Caenorhabditis elegans: one gene and its partners. The protein of the gene in region 1 interacts with the protein of each later gene in a biochemical or structural test. Each region holds a gene or a part of one and is shown in the gene's direction. Other genes may lie near its edges.

Evidence for each region. Proteins that work in one complex are often made in the same cells at the same time.
Region 2: of the proteins of syd-1 (region 1) and rsy-1, one has a biochemical effect on the other in vitro, tested with the Caenorhabditis elegans proteins (one study listed by BioGRID).
Region 3: of the proteins of syd-1 (region 1) and elks-1, one has a biochemical effect on the other in vitro, tested with the Caenorhabditis elegans proteins (one study listed by BioGRID).

Annotation. Positions count from the first base shown.
Region 1 is NC_003280.10:7,591,897-7,596,504, reverse strand, and holds the start of syd-1 (Rho GTPase-activating protein syd-1), read left to right. Parts: upstream 1-1,592; 5' UTR 1,593-1,596; coding exon 1,597-1,672; intron 1,673-1,834; coding exon 1,835-1,938; intron 1,939-2,917; exon of another isoform or gene 2,918-3,196; intron 3,197-4,264; exon of another isoform or gene 4,265-4,410; intron 4,411-4,480; coding exon 4,481-4,523; intron 4,524-4,608.
Region 2 is NC_003279.8:11,215,946-11,223,523, reverse strand, and holds rsy-1 (Arginine/serine-rich protein PNISR), read left to right. Parts: upstream 1-1,528; 5' UTR 1,529-1,548; coding exon 1,549-1,594; intron 1,595-1,735; coding exon 1,736-2,763; intron 2,764-4,272; coding exon 4,273-4,453; intron 4,454-5,382; coding exon 5,383-5,631; intron 5,632-6,885; coding exon 6,886-7,151; 3' UTR 7,152-7,347; downstream 7,348-7,578. Other genes in the region: Y53H1A.2 (C2H2-type domain-containing protein), read right to left, coding at 551-883, 935-1,015, 1,117-1,125.
Region 3 is NC_003282.8:3,346,978-3,351,913, reverse strand, and holds the start of elks-1 (ELKS/RAB6-interacting/CAST family member 2), read left to right. Parts: upstream 1-1,886; 5' UTR 1,887-1,995; coding exon 1,996-2,005; intron 2,006-2,489; coding exon 2,490-2,610; intron 2,611-2,745; coding exon 2,746-2,991; intron 2,992-4,079; coding exon 4,080-4,269; intron 4,270-4,317; coding exon 4,318-4,426; intron 4,427-4,806; coding exon 4,807-4,936.

The DNA of each region.
Region 1 (4,608 bases):
AGTAGAGGAATCAACTACCAAAAGATAATTATGTAAATCTGAAATTTTTTGTTAATGAACAAAAAAATTAATGCAAACTTTTTTTTCTGTAAAGTTGACCAAATTCATTTTGACATTTTAACTGTGGGGTAGCGGTGGTGGGAATTTGATGCAAATAAACTGATGAAAAAATTTAAAATCACTCAAAATCATTATAAATTTTATGAAAGTATTTAGATTTTGAAAATGTTTAAATCTTGGTTAAATGCCAAATTGACTTAAAGCTGTGGCTCTTTGAAAAATTTTCAGCGTTTTCGCGTGGTTGTACCTGGTTCTACTATGTATATATGCAAATACAAGTAATTGAAATAAATGTTTTTCCGAAAAGTAGTACTATGGCATTTGGTCATGTTAGAAATATATGAAGGTTTTAAACAACTTCCCAACCGGCGATACCTTCAAGTAAGTGATTAAAAAAGTAGCTAGTAATACAGAGCTAAAAGGGCTAAAAAGGCTATTGGAAAGAAAAACTCGTAAATTTAAGATCTTCAATTTCAAAAGTACACAAATATCTCATTCAAAAAAAAAGACTTCATTCTCCGATTTTACGAAAACTCATTTTTCTAGATGCGCCCGAAACATCCATCACTTGGCTTTTCAGATTCTTCCCATCTTTTCTTCGATTTTAGTTGAAAAGCTGAGGGCTCATTCGATTTCGTTCAAACTCCAATTAAACGATTTTCCGATTCAAATCGATCATTGAACGGACATGAGAGAATTATGTAGTCTCGTTCTCATCCCATATATTCAGTTCCTTTTTCATTTCTTTTGTTTTCTCTCCATTGCCCGCATATCCAGTCAGTCTCGCCAATTTCCATTGCTCCAAATTTCCTGCTATTATTCATAGTATACGCCATTTTCGATTCGGTTTTTCACTAAACAACGAAGAGGAGAAGAAGGTCCCTCCTTTTATTGACTTTTCGTTAAATACTCTGAAACGTGTCATCAACCTTATAATTTCTCATGTTTCATTTGAGTCCATTTTGCATTTGAAATGTTTTATGAGATGTCATCTGTCTCTTTTGTGTCACTATAACAACATATTCTAGATTGAGATTCTTATTCTCTTGTTTTTTTTGTTTCATTCTGTTTTAAACGCTGTTTCATATCCTCTCCATTGTAGAAATAGAGGTTTGGCTATTAAAAACTGTAATTGAAAAATAAATGGCATTGTTTTCCTTTTCAATAACCGTTAAATTACCTTTTAAAGGTGGATGAATTCCGTTTCAAATGTGGGGTAGTATAAATGGAGGATTTTTTAAACACTAGAAATTGTCCAAACTCCGAAATATCATCAAAAACGAACAAATTCAGAAAGAATGAAAAGTTAAACTTTTGAAAACTTGTTTTTTTTAATTCGGCAAAAATTGTCTTTTTGAATTTTCTTTAAAATGAGATGCCACGCCCACCTTCAGACCAAACTTCTAACTTCGTCGCACACTTCGTCTGATTGGCTCTTACTGAAAATTATTGAAAACTATTTTTTGAATAAATGTTTTCAATTATAATTCAAACATATGACACTTCTATTGCTTCAAATTAAATATGTACAGAGTTATGCTCATATCCACAAGTTTAAAGTTCTTGACAATGTTAACATCCAACGGATTCGGTGGCACCAATCCACCAAAAGGTATGTTTGGTAATAAAGGAAGGGTCAATGTTCATTTGGATATATGTCACCCTTATAAATAAATAACGTTGTGCTCATTATTGTTGACTGACCCCCAATAATGTGTGAATAAAAATGAAAGCAGACTTCCGGAAGAACAATAAAATTTATATTTCATTTCAGGAATGCCATATCCACCAACCTACCTTTACACAGAAGAACCACAAAACGAATGTTGCTGCTGTTGGTTATGCAGATTACTGTGTTGTTGTTCTCCAGTCGATCAGGTATCTCACTCATCAGTTTCTTTTCTTTTTATTTATTTATTTCTGTTGTGCATGGCAGGCGGTCGGAAAAAAAAGTGGGGAAACTCGATTGCCGTAGTTCTTGAGAAATTCAATTTCGATGGTGTCTAATCTTCTCGCATCAGTGCACTCTTTCCCTTAAAAGAGGAGAAAAAGAAGAACTACTTTCGGCTCGAACATCCCGACAAACCTTTTTCCCCTCAGCTTCTCAATACCCAATTCCTATGTTTCTTCTCGTGTATCCATAGAATCAGTTGCCACGGTATAAATCTTTATGCGTTTTGTTACTACTACCTTCGTTTTTTCTTCTTTTCCTGTTTTCTCACTTATATTTATTTTTCTACAAACATGTATTGTTGGAAAACTCAAAATCCTGATGAAGGTGAACAGGTAAAGTAAAAAAATGTTTTAATTTCTGAAATATGGTTTTTGATGTGTCTTATGAAAGTTGTTGAACTTGAAAGCTGAACGAAGACTGGAAAAGGAACAGTTGTAAAAAATTCCAAAATGTTGTGTATATATTTAAGGAGATCCTAATACCACATTTAAATTTCGAACTAAATCTAGAATTCTTTCATTACAACAAAACAAAGTGTTTTAATCAGTTTCTTTATAATGGTTAAATATAATAGGACACAATGAATTGAAAATCATTGCCATAAGTTTGAAAACTTTCAATTAACCACACATATATATATTAATTAATATGTATGTCTTAGAAAGTGTTTCAATGTGATTCAAGTTCTAATATATATTCTCATTCGTCTTCTATGGTAATCCTTGATGTGGGTACATTTTAAATATAATAATGAGAAGTCTTTGCGGAAGAAGACGAAGAGGGTCGATGTCGTTTGGTGTGAGCTGAACTTGATTCGAAATCTACGGGGGGGGGGACGTCGTTTTGTGCATGAGCAACGAAAGAGCATGTCTCCCAGAGAGTGACTCAACAGCGGCTACTACTATGGGAAACAAGAGGAGAGATGGAGAAGTATAAAGAAGAGGACGAAGAAGAAGCTAGTAGCCGTTGGCTCAACTTGGTCCGCTCTATCTCCCTCTGCGTATCACAAATTTCTATGCCGTCTATCTGAACTGCGCGGAGACGAGAGAGCAACGGCGACTTGTGTGTGTATATGTGTGTGCCCACTCGAAACTAAAAGGAAACGAGATCGATAGACGGATGGCGACGAGGCCACCGACGAAGCTCCGACGAAGAAGGAGAAGCCGTCGTCGCCATCACCAGTCTCTTCCTTCTCCATTCCATCGCCGTTTTCTTCTTCTTCTACTTCTTCCCTCATTTCTTTTTTCTATTCCACTAAGTTTTAGACACCGCAAGTAGCAGTAGCAAAAGGGCGTCGGGAGCTCACTGATTTCTTTCTTTTTTCTAGTCCCCCTCTTCTGCTCTATTTTTTTGAATGAATGCACACTCGGACTTCAAGTCCCCCGTGAGAACATTAGCTAATCCCTGAATTTTTTGGGTTAAGTGAAAATGTTCGAGTGGGGGTAAAGTGTTTTGAACCTAGATTATGAAGACACACCAGAATAAATTGATGTAAACGTCTTGTGAACTATTATAATCTAGAAGTATGCTGGAAAATTTGAAGTTGATATACATACATATAAAATAATATCCTGTATATTTTCTAATTTAAATTCCTTGAACATTATGAACAACTAATATAAAATTAAAAAAAAACTGTTCTCAAAGTATGATAAAAATGGTGATTTCCTATTAAATTTGTACCCATATTGCTCTACTCTGACGGCTTGTATCTCGAATGCCTTTGGTTTTATTAACAAAAAGACATCAAAATAAAGATCTGAACATTCTTTTGTGAAAGATAATCAACTTTTATCAACTATTCACACAACCCTTTTTTCTCGAAGAAACTCAAAAAAATGTATTTAAAGTCGAATAAAATTTCATAACTTTATTGCTAGATCCATTCACTTTTAACGACTTTCTGTTGTCTCTCACACTTATAGCGGTTTTATTTGCGTTTCTGAAAGTGAAACCATTTGAGTATTCGAGTATACCCGCGTATTTGTTTTCGAAATTCATCCTGGACACAAAACAACAGCTTTTCCATCTGCTTCCTGAAATTATTAGTTCTCTCACTCTCCATTCAACTCTCTCTCATTCATTTCCTTTTTCTGCGCTATTCGTGAATAACATCATTGCTCCTTTCATTCAGGAACTTCTATCTGCCGGTTTTCTTTTTGATAAACCAAAAAGTTTTGGGAGATTGCAGGACTAGCCACGCGAAAAAGGACCCATTAATTTTTGTGTGTAGTTTTAGGACTCTCTATCTCTCTATCTCTCCATCTTCCTCTATTTCTACTTTCAATGTCCTTTCTAACCCAAAGCATTCATTGCTCGGACTCTGGACCGCCCGTTGTGCCTTCATGTGCATGTAAGGGGTACGCCAACCACCCCCACCAAAACTCTTTCGTGTTTTAAAACATTAAGTGTTCAATAACGTTGCCACTATTAATCAATTTATTTATTTAACGTTCTATTTTTCAGACCGCCTCACGCAGTCGCATGAATGCCAGTCAACCGCCTCCCGGTGAGTCTTTGAATTTTTGTTAGACGATTTAAGAAAATATAGGTTCTCAGCAGAAAATACCCATTAAATTAAATTTTGAACATGG
Region 2 (7,578 bases), on another chromosome or scaffold:
TTTGGTGTTTTAGGATTGAAAAAGTGAGTTATAAGCTTAATACATTGCAGTTTTTAGTCATTTTCATATAAAAAAATTGCAGAAAAATCAGTTTTTTGGTCGAAAATGTTTTGGGTGAGGCTAACAGACTACAAACTACAATTTTTCTAGCCTCAACCAATTTTTTTCGTAAAAATTGAAGGTTATTATCGTAAAAAGTTAATAAATATCATGAAATAGCCGTTTTTACTCATTTTTATACAAAAAATTGGGGAAAACCGTTTTTTTTTTGGTCGAAAATGTTTTGGGTGAGGCTAACAGACTACAAACTACAATTTTTTTAGCCTCAACGAATTTTTTAATACGATTTTCAACTGAAAATTAGGTTTTTTAATAGTATAAATTAATTTTTAAGCGAAAATTGAATAAAATCCTATTTAAAATGATTGCGGTTTGTAGTTTGTAGTCTGTGAGCCTCAACCAAACGAATTTTCGTCCTATTGGCTGAAATTTGATGATTTTTCATGTTTTCAGGGCAAAAATTGTTAGAATCGGGGTTTTTTATCAGTACCATTTCACTTTGGCCATCCTCATCATCTTCGTGATCCTCTATTTCTTCCGGATGCTCAGATTTTGGAGAAATTACTCGATTTTCCACGATTTCTTGTGAAAATTCTGGATTTCTAGGATGAAAATGTGATAAATTCGAATAATGAGCTTGTTGCACAGATTGCGGGGGCGAATATTGATTTTTCGGTGAACAATTTTGAGGCACATTTTGCGAATTATTGTCGTAGACCAGCTCATATTCGTCGGTTTTCTGCTCCGCAAACATATTTCTCATTGTAGTGAGCACTTTTGGTCCATCTTCGTCTGATGTGTAGTTTGAGGAACAGGAAATATCCTGAAAAATTGGAAAAAAAAAGTGATTTTGCAGAAATTTTCGGGGAAAAACCTCTATTCCACTTTGTAAATTGAAGTCATCGCCGAAAAGCATGTAGTTTGGACAGGAAAAATCCTGTTTTCTTTCTGTCATCTGAAAAAAAAGCAAATTTAAATTTAAATTATTCAAAAAACAACTATTATCGTTGAAAATTGCTGCTAAAAATTAAATTAAATTAAATTAAATTAACCTACCGTAGCCATTAAAGGCGCATGCTGTGTTCCCTCGAATGGGTTTCTACACGAAATTGGAAAACGTCGGATTTCGGCAGGAATTCTGGAATTTAAAATCACTTTTCTCCAAAAATTAAATATATCGATTCATTTTCTTCACATTACAAACAAAAAAACACGTTCAAGTATCTGAAAATCACACAGAAAGCCGCCGTCAATAAAATTCGGTGGCCGCGTGGCCGTGGACTAGGTTTCGTGTAAAGGAACGGCCATCGACATTTTTTCGATTTAATTCTATTTTAGAATATTTTCAGCGCATTTTTAAAGCTTTTAAATAGAAAATCTAGCTGAAAATTTCGAATTTTTGTTAAAAAATGCTAGTTTCCACCTTTTTCCTCCCAAAAAAAACCAATAAGATCGATATTTCCTGCAGAAAATCACAAAACGAGGGAAATGGAAGATTGGACCAACTATCATCAGGCACAGCCGGCGGAAAGTGGTATGGCGTTGTGATTTTATTGAAAAATTGAATTTAAAATCGAAAAATTTGGCAAAAAAACACGAAAAAATCGATTTTTTTCGAGATTTTCGCGAAATTTTTTTAAATTTATTTAAAAATTAATTTTCGTCTATTTTCCAGTCGACTGGGCCCAGCTGGCCCAACAATGGATGGCGATGCGCGACACAGACGATCGTCGAGCCGGAAATTCACACGATTTCGCTCAAAATCATCAGCTCCCGTGGCATCAGCCACGTCATCCGGGCCCTCCGGCTCATCAGGATTGGGGCGATTGGTCCGCGAATCGGGACGAGCAGTGGAGAGGGCCGCCTGGGCCTTCTGGGCCGTCCGGGCCCCCCGTATATCATAATCAAGGCCCGCCTCGTGGATATCCACCACCACCGCCACAGGGAGCAGACACGTGGCGTGGAGCTCCTCCACCAGCTCACCACGGACACTTTGGACCGCCTGGACATCATTTCCAAGGCCCACCACAACATTTTCCGCCAGGGCCACCAAGGCCGCACTTTCCAGGCCCCCCAGGCCCACATAGACCTCCAGAGCACTACCCAGGGCCTCCAAGACCTCAGGCTCCAGCGGCACCACCACCGAAAAGCCTATTCCCGTCGGCCCAAAAGCCTAAGCCACTTTTTGCGGCGGCTTCAAGTGCTCCAAGCTTCTTCGGAGCACCTCAACGTCCACCACCGCAGCTGCACTTTTTCCAGGAGAGCCCCTCGGTCCAGCACGATTTTCAGCAGCCCGATTTCCAGCCCGATTTCCAGCCCGAAAACTACCAAAATTCCCCGGAACCCCCGGCCCAAGCTGGCCCGAAAGGTGTGCCTCCACCGGCTCCACTAATGGCTTCAGGGCCCACAAACCCGTATGCAATGAACAAAGAGGCCCGGAAAAAACTGCCGGCCTGGATCCTGGAAGGCCTTGAAAAGGCCGAACGGGAGAAGCAAAAGCAGTGGGAAAAAGAGGAAAAGCTGAAGAAAGCGGAAGAAGAAAAAGCCCGGCGAAGAGCCGAAGCTGGAAAGAGCAAATTTGACTCTTCGTCGGATGAAGAGAGCCCGGAAAATGAGAAATTTCCTGTTGGTAATGGAAAATCTGAATATCAGGAAGATGATAATGATTCGGAAGACGATTTGGAGGAGAGACGAGAGCAATTTGTACGGGAAATTCTAAATTCCTGAAATTTCCGCAAAAAAAAACCTAAAAACTACAAAAAATTTGAGAAAAAACGAAGATATTCTAAATTTTTAGAGGAAATTTTTCAAAATTTGAGAAAAAAAACCAATTTTTTGAAAAAAAAAATCCAGCTTTGTAGTTTATAGTCTCTCAGCCTCAACCAATATTTTTGGTTGAGGCTCACACACTACAAACTACAAAAAATTTTGAGAAAAAACCAAAAATTTGTCGAAGATTTTCTGAATTTTTAGAGAAAATTGCTAAAAAAATCGAGAAAAAACCGACGAAATTTGATCAATTTTTGTTGGTTCAGGCTCATGCTCAGACACTACAAACTACAATTTTCGGGTAGCCTCACCAAAATTATATTTTGAACAAAAAAATCAATTTTACAATGAAATTTTTGTATTTCGAGGAAAAATCGTTTCTTTTTTTACTTTTATTTCAAAAAAATGTTGAAAATTTGAAAATTTTAGCCGGCTAGACTACAAACTACAGAAATTTTTTTTTTTAAATTGTATTTTCCCAAGATTTTCTGAATTTTCCAGTGTAACTCCTAAATCCTAAAAATAATTCCTATAAAACACCGAGTTTTTGATAAAATTTCAAAAAATCTATTGGTTGAGGCTATGACAATTTGTAGTTTGTAGCCTCTCAGCCTCAACCAATATTTTGGTTGAGACTCACACACTACAAACTACAATTTTCGGGTAGCCTCACCAAAATTAAATTTTGAAAAAAAAATAAATTTTTCAATACAACTTTTGAATTTCGGCAAAAAAATCGTTTTTTTTTTCATTTTTAATTCAAAAAAGTTTAAAATTTTAGACATTTTAGTAGACATTGGCGTTTTTGATGCCAGCTAGACTACAAACTACATGAATTTAAAAAAAAAAAACAATTTTCCCTAGGTTTTCTCAATTTTTCAGCGTAAACCATAAAAATTCCAATAAAAAACCCAGTTTTTGATAAAATTTACAAAAAAAACATTGTTGAGGCTATATGACAATTTGTAGTTTGTAGTCTCAACCAATTCAAAAATTGGTCGAGGCTCAGACTACAAACTACAATTTTTAAGACAGCCTCACAGAAATTTAAATTTTCAAAAATTCAATTTTTTCAAGATTTTTTAAAAAATTTTCTAAAAAGTTTTGAAATTCGGGTAAAAAAAATTTTTTTGTTTCAAAAATTTTATAATTTTGATGCCCGCTAGACTACAAACTACAAAAATTTCGAAAACAAACCTTAAAATCTTCCCAAGATTTTCAGAATTTTTCAGTCAAAACCTTTAAAAATGCAATAAAAACCGAATTTTTGATAAAATTTCAAAAAATCTATTGGTTGAGGCTCGCGTTTTTGGAGGCTGTTAGACTACAAACTACAGAACTTTTGAAAAAAAAAAATTGAATTAAAAATTAAAAAAGGTCCATTAAGTGGAGAAAAACCTCTTAAAAATTTCAAAAAAAAAATTTTCGAAATTTTTTTTCCAGATACGCTGTGTGAAAACTCTAATGATGAACGTGCTCCTCGAGTCTTCGAATGACGTCATCATGCGTATAATACAAGAAGAGCTCCGTGAGCACGAAAAACTTCAATTTGAACGGAAAAAATTGGCAACTGCGCCGAAAATCATCGGCAACAGCTCAGCGTTGGCGGCTCTCGCGGCTTTTGGTATGGAGAAGCTCGCGAAAATTCGAAATTCGGAAAAAACAATTTTTTTGACCAGAAAATTCGGTTTTAAAAGTTTTTTCCAAGTTTTTAATTTAAAAAAAACCGAAAACTTTAACATTTTTGAAATTTTCTTCCAAAAAGCTATGAAAATCGTATAATTTTTCATAAAAAATTCATAAATTGTTCCAATTTTTCGACGAAATTTTTTTAAACAAAAAAAATTCGATTTTATCGAGTTTTTTGAGCTAAAATTTCAAAAAGTTTTTTAAAAATTGATTTAAAAAATTCGAAAAACGAAAATTTTCAACATTGTCTTCAAAAGTTTCACATTTTTTAAAAACTTTTTTCTAAAATTTTCGAATTTTCCATATTTTTTTTAAATTTAAAACAGTTACAATTTTGAAACAAATCGAATTTTCTGGTTGAAAAATTTGAGATTTTCCGAAAAAAAAAGTAAAATTTTTGATTTTTAAATCGAATTTTTCAAAAAAAAATAGCGAAAATTTAGATTTCCAGAAAATTTTAATTTTATATAAAAATTGTGTTCAAAAAGTTCCTGAAAAGCTCTTCTTTTTCCTAAAAATTCAAATTTTTCAGAAAAAGTTTTCAAAAAAACATTTTTTTTTTTTGGAAAAAATCGGTTTTCAGAAGCTTTTTTAATTAAATATTCGTTATAAAAAACGATTTTCGAACAATGTACCAAAAAAGAATTTTTAGTTTAAAAATTTCAATTTTTTCGATTAAAAATTCCATAAAATGTGAATTTTCAATTTCTCGAAAATTGTAAAACTAAAATTCAAATAAAAAAAGCCTTTTTTTGCAAAAAAAAAGTTGAGTTTTCAGTTAAAAAAAAAAACGTTTTTTAGAGCTAAAATGTCATATTTTTTGAAATTTTATTTCAAAAAATTCAAATTTTTCAAATTTTCCAGGAGACGGTGAGGATAGTGACAACAGCAGTGACGATGGAGTTGGCGACGACATGGAGCCACGGCAGGAGAGCAGTGGCTCGGCGGAGCTAAATGGAGCATCAGGGGCAGCAGAAGCAGGAACACCAGAAGCTGGTGGTGGAGAGTTCAAGGCTCCCGTGGGTATCCCTCGAAAGTTTAGTGTTAAGACAGATGATGTCAAACCATCAGTTAATGATGATGGTGAAGGTGTTGATGATTTACACGTTCCAGGTAAGGTAAACTAATGAAAAATATAAAAATATATTCACTTTTTGTTGAAAAAAATACCATTTTTGCTAATTTTTTCCCCGATTTTAGCGTCAAAAATGTGTTTTTCTGTAGTTTGTAGTCTATTAAAGCGCGAATTTTCAGCCAAAAAACTTCAAAAACCTACTGGAAATCCACTTTTTTGAATTAAAAATTCAAAAATTTCAGGAAAATCTGCAAAAAAAAAATGTTTTTTCAATATTTGTGTGAGGCTATGTTATTTTGTAGTTTGTAGTCTCAGCCTCAACCAATTTTTGAAATAATTGAGGCGCGCTGGAGACTACAAACTACAAGTTTTCTTCACAATTTTCACTTTTTTCCGCCAAATTTGAACTGAAATTTTTTGGGATTTTGGGACATTTGGGATTTTGGATTTTTGGGACAGAATGGTTTTGTAGTTTGTAGTCTCGGAGCGCCAATTTTCAGCCAAAAAAAATAATATTTTATTCCAAAAAACCCACTGGAATTCCACTTTTTTTGGATTAAAAATTCAGAAATTTTCGGAAAATCTGAAAAATTTTGAAAATTCAGTTAAAACCGCTTCTAGAACTCGAAAAATCTATTTTTTAAATCCAAAAAAAAATCTGAACATTCCTGAACATTTGGTGAGGCTTTGCTCATTTTGTAGTTTGTAGTCTGTGAGCCTCAACCAATTTTTGAAATAGTTGAGGCCGGAGACTACAAACTACAAGTTTTCTTCACTTTAGCAGAGATTTTTCGGGAAAATCTCACTTTTTATCTAAAAAATTTCAAAAATTCTTTTCTTTTTTCAATAAAATCTCTGAAAATCCAAATAAAAATCCAAAAAATTTTTTTTTTCTAATTTTGTAGTTTGTAGTCTGTGAGCCTCAACCAATTTTTGAATTGGTTGAGGCTACAAACTACACATATTTCCCAGCCTCAACCTAGATTTCTTCATATTTTACTCATTTTTTAAAGAATACAAATGAAAAGTGTGAATTTTTGAAATTTTCACTCGCAAACGTGTAGTTTGTAGTCAAAATATTGGGATTTTACTATTTTGGGTTAGGCTAAGCTGATTTTGTAGTTTGTAGTCTTCGGCTAAATATTTAGAAATTTCCTTTCAAAAAGTCTGTAGTTTGTAGTTTGAACCTTGATTGAGGCTGATGTGATTTTGTAGTTTGTAGTCATTCTCTAGACTACATAGAACTACACAATCTACACACAAAATTCCGGAAATAATATTCAAATTTTCAGATTCAAAAAACGGCGATAATAAAAAATCGGAAAAATCGTCGTCGGAAAAGAAGAGAGAACGAGAGATGAGAGACGATGAGAAGGAGAGAAAATCGAGTAAAAAGAGCAAAAAACGATCGAAAAGTCGTGAAAAAGAGCAATCTTCATCACGACATAATCACCGATCGAGAAGCCGATCTTCGGAACGGGATCGCCGTCGAAAACGGTCGAGAAGTTCGGAACGTCGGAGGGATCGGGGGGACAGGGATCGGCATAGTCGACGTTGATTTTTATTGATTTTAACGATAAATTATTGATTTTTCCGATTTTTACCGCCGATTTTTTCCACCAATTTCTTGCTCCAAATTCTCATTGTTCAAAGCCGCCCGTTTTTCTGGAAAACTCCCAAAAAATTATTTTTTTGTATTACCTATGATGACATTTTCCCATTGATTTTTTTTTGCTTAATGTATTTTGAAGTTTTGTTTTTTCGTTTTTGGTTTCAGCATATTTCAGAATCGCACAATAAATTCTAATTTCGCGCCTGAATTTTTGGAAAAATAACTAAAATTTGAATTTCCCGCTAAAATATTAAAAATAATTTGAAGTTCGCGCCAAATTTTTTGTTTTGAAAATTCGAATTTCCCGCTGAAATATTTAAAATTTTTGGAAAAATTACTAAAATTTGAATTCGCGCCTAAATTTTTGAAAAAA
Region 3 (4,936 bases), on another chromosome or scaffold:
CAGACGACGAGACACTCTGCGTCTCCCCTTCCTCCACGCTCTCTAGGTCCCCATCTCAAGCCCCGTATCTCGAGAACGGTGATAGCTATTAAAAAGTTGTCAACTGATAGATAAATGTGTAAAATTTTGAGAAGAATAATTTTTGGGTTAGAAAATTTTTTAAAGGATTATTGTTGATGGAACTTTTTTTTTCAAAAAGTTCTAATCAGCAAAACAACGTAAAAATACACTTTTCACCTTAAATGTTTCTGCAATAAATATTAAATCTCTTCAATCCCCAGATTTTCCTACTTTTCCTGCGTCTCTCCAATCTCTTCTGGTTCAATGCCAAAAGCTCAACTACTCGACGCACTCCCTAAAAGAGAGTTTGAGAAAGACAATGGAGACGCAGAGAAAAGCTCTTTTCGGACTCTCACCACCCCTTTTTCTCTATCTTTTTGCCAAAAACGTAGTACTATGGACCACCGAAATTGAAGGGGGGAGAGACCTTTGCGCAAGTCGTTTTATTTTTTCTCTTTTTTTTGCTTTTGTTTTATTAATAGGCGTTTACAGTGTGGAGAGTGGGTGAGGAGGCAGAGAAGACAGTCTCGTTGTCTGCGTCTCTCTGCTGTATATATGTATCTGGAACGGTTAGAGCTTAGAAAATAGAGTAACAGAGAAAAAAGATCAGAATGTTGAAAAATCCCAATATACTTTTTTTTCTTTTTTCAAAAAAACCCCTGTCCTCCAATAAATCGTAACGTTTGCAATTTTCCGTTCCATTTGTCATCATTGAACATTGAAAGAAACACAAAAAAAACGCACTGAGCGTACTGTTTTCGTCTTTTCTATCCCTTTTCCCCGACACTTTTCTCTCAATTCCCTACAATTTTTGTGTCTTGGCGTCAGAGTCAAGAGTTTTGCCTTTTTTTTAAAGTTTTCTAGTATGGAAAATTTAAGAAAACATATGTAAGATTGCTGAATAATAATTTAAAAAAATCGAAAAAAATGTTTTTCGAATAGAAAACCAAATTTCTCACTTTACTATCTTTAACCGTTCCAGAGATACACGCATTTTAGAGCATAGTGCGGTGAGAGCGTGGTGGAGGGTGAGACGCAGTCGACGAGACAACCTGCGTCTCCCCCTCCTCCACACACTTTGCACTCCTCAACTTTGAACCCCTATATCTCTAGAATGGTAATAGCTACCAAAAAGGTTCCAACAGACAAAATGTGCGAAATTTTGTGCTTAACAGTTTGTTAGTTAAAATGTTTTTGTTAGCCGTTTTAGTTTTGAAGTTATACTCAGTTTTCTGAGGCGGTACCGAAACTTTTCTGGATTTTTCCGTACAAATTAAGAATAAACATATTCTGTTAATTGGGGAAATTATTATTCAAAAATTTAACCAAGACTCCGCCACTACAGTCCCCCTCCCCTCTCCTCTGTTTTCTTCATGCTTATCCGCGCGCAATCCGCCTCCCCTTCCTTTCTCTAACTCCTCTTACTCTCTCATTCCTTCTCCCTGTTTGTCAAACCATCTAGGTCTCTTCTTCGTCTCTTTATCTCTCGGCTCTCTTGCTTTTTGGCTCTTTCTCTCCTCTCCGCGCACCCCGCGCATACATTGACTTACACAAGACATTTGCTGCTTCCGGCCGGACTTTTTGAACGATTTTTTTTGGTTTTTGGGTTATTGATAGTGGAAAATTTGTATTCTGAAATTAGGAGTGAAAAGTTTAGCGGGAAATTTGAGTATATTTTGAGAATAAATTTCGAAAAATAAAAATTGAAAGTTGTTTTTTTTTCAAAATTTCCAAATTTAACCAATATTTCCTCATATTGTTTTAATATAATTTTTCTCCTAACTTTTTTCTCTTCTCCTCAATTCTCAAAAACTTCAAAATTTCAGTCAAAAACTGGATCGAGGCGGCGGCGGGTGGTACGGTAACGGCTTGGACGCCGAGTGGTCCTACAACGAACACGTACCCGGACCATCAAACTACCCGGAGCAGTACAATATGGCACCTGGTGAGTTTTTAGAAGATTGCAAATTTTTGCAAATTAAACAAATTTCGCTCAAAAAAAATTTTTTTTGATTTTTTTTTCGCCAGAAAAGCATGAATATCTCAAAAACTGAAAACTCTATTAAAAAATTTATGACTAACTAATTGTAGATCACAAAATTTCACACAGTTTGTTAGTTGATAACTTTCTCATATCTCCAAAACTCGCAGAGTTATGCCAATTTTTGCAAAGCTTGTTAAAATTCCAAATTTCAGTGTGCTCCAATGTTTAACCGAGGAGGTTTTTGCTAAAAATGTGCAATCTCTTGAAAAAAAAAGTGTGTTGATAAAAATTTGGAAAGAACATTTCAAATTTCCCGCCAATCGCAAAATGTAAGGGCGCTCTAATGCAAAAAGAGTTGAAGCGTTTCGTTAAATTTGGCACAACCTTTTTGAAAAATTCTACAACAAGTGCGCTCCAAAAAGAATTTTCCAATTTTTCGTTTCAGGTCCCGCACCATACAGCAGCCGAACATCGGTGATGAATTCCAGTGGCCGAAACCCGATGAATTATCCATCAGTCCCACCCCATACATCCATATCCGCCGCGTCGAGGCGCCCACTGCAACGGTGAGTAGCTTTTTTAGGGATAAACTGAGGAAAATTTAAGACCAAGCACAAATTTTCTGTCTCCCAACGGGCCTACAGCCTGCCCCTCGAAGACCAACTACTCTCGAGGCCTACCTAAGAACCATCCAATTCCAGGCAACACCGCTCGATGGACGGCCTTGGTGTCCTGGACGCCTACAAAGACTCCCTAGACTACGATATGATGCTCCAGCCGTCTCCACCGAAACCTCTACATCAGCCATCATACCTTCCATTGGAGATATCCACAAGTCAACATCACCATCCACCACATCACCACCCAACACAGTTCCAGCGTGGGCAATCGCTGGCGTTATCGAATCCGATTCCCACGCAGAATGCGTTCTGGCAGCATAATAATAGGTTAGTTAGGGGTGCCGGGTATTCGGGGAGGTCGACAGCTTCTAAAGTCGCCGGGTTGTCGGTAAGGCTGCCTGGTAGACAAAAAGTAGTCAGTGTGCTTGTCATTAGGGATGCCAGGATCCTAAGAGCCTTTAGTGTTGTCTAATTTGTATTGGTTGCCCATCAGAAGCCAGTGGCGTTGTCAATTTCCTGACTTGGTTGCCGCCTAAACTAGATCCCAGTTTCTATAGTGCTTGTCGGACAGGACCCTGCCGTCTTCTAAATCATCCATTAGGGCTTTTACCTTTCTTCCTATACCGTTTCTTCCTCCCCCTCCAGTTAACACACCACAAACGACACAAATCTACGGCTCCAAGACCCCACCCTAACCTAATTTAATTTGCGGGGGGGGGGGGGGTGGTGCTGGTGGACCCTCCGAAAACCAACATTTTTTAGTTTTTGTTCTTTCAGTTGAATTTCCTCCAATTTTTAAAGAATTTGCGGGTTTTTGCTGCTCCTCATCTCTCATGGGAGTATAATATGCATGTATATATATATATTTTTTTGCACACATTGACTGCTGCTGACGTTCTCTTCCGAAAAAAAATTGGGGGCTCAAAACAGATGAATTTTAAGTGGGGTGGGGGAGCTCTGGAGATTCAAATAATATTATGTAATTTTACTTTGAACTGTTATATCGTCGAGGAGGTTAGAGGTACAAAAAAATTTTCCACTAACAAATTATGCTGTTTTTAATTTTGAGCATTTTGTTAGTTGACAAAAACTCGTATCGTTAAAGGCAATAAAGTTAGATCCGAAACAGCCTCTGCCTTTTCACTTGCCTTGCCTACCTGGGATGATACGATGGTCTTCAATCCCTCTTATCTCCTAGGTAAGAATAGATACAAAAATGTAGTCAACATGGAAACTGTGCAGTTTTTAATTTTGAGCATGTTTCCAGTTTACAACAAATTTTTATGTTTTTTTAAATGTTTAATAGCTAAAAAGTTATAGCGTTTGAAGGGCAACACCCAGGGCCAGAGCATCGGTAGAAACTTGTGTAATATTACACGCGGAAGACTTTTTTCCTCAATTTTCCAATATTTCAGCATGGCCACCACATCAGTCCAAGACTACGACCTAATGCAACCAGGCATATCCCGAATCCCCACCGGCACTGGAAGTGGCCTGAACATCGCGAGAGAGTACGAGCAGCTGAAAGTCGAATACGACACAATGATGGAGAAGCTAAATCAGACTATGAATAGTATCAAAACGTTTTGGAGTCCCGAGTTAAAGGTAATAGAGCTACCGTAGTGTATGATTAGCTATGTGAAATTGTTCCAGAGGGAGAGGCAAATGCGGCGTGATGAAGCCACTCGGATAGCGCAGCTGGAGAGGATGGTTCAGTCGGGAGGAGGTGGCGGTAATGACTACGGCCTAGGTTCTAGCGAAGGTAATTTAGGTGTTTTTTTTAAAATAAGCTTCAAAGCCTGCAATTAAATTAAGTTAATTTAAACGCTTGTTAACCCCAAGCGGATGACAAGTTAAAACAAAAGGGTCCCAGGAGTTCAATGTTTCTGAAAAGGTCAAGATCTTGGTTCGAATGAAACCAACACCTTAGAAGCAGAACAACGCCCTTAAGATCCTAAAAACATAAAATCCTCTGCTACCAGGGTCATGGACTTTTTAGGCTACCGTCAAGTAAGCCTTGGCTGTGCTTTACCCCTTACCGATTAAATCTGTAAGGCTCTAGGGTACCCATGTTTTTGTAGGTTTCCTTATGGTTAGGGCCACCTGGCCTAGGAATCTCTTACACAGTCTTCATTCTTTCAGCGCTACAACTCCGAATGGAACTCCGAGAACGCGACGAACGCATTCGCCAACTCACCACAGCTTTAGAATCCGGCTCCGGTGGCATGGACGGACGGATTCGAGAGCTAGAGGATACTATTATGAGGCTTCA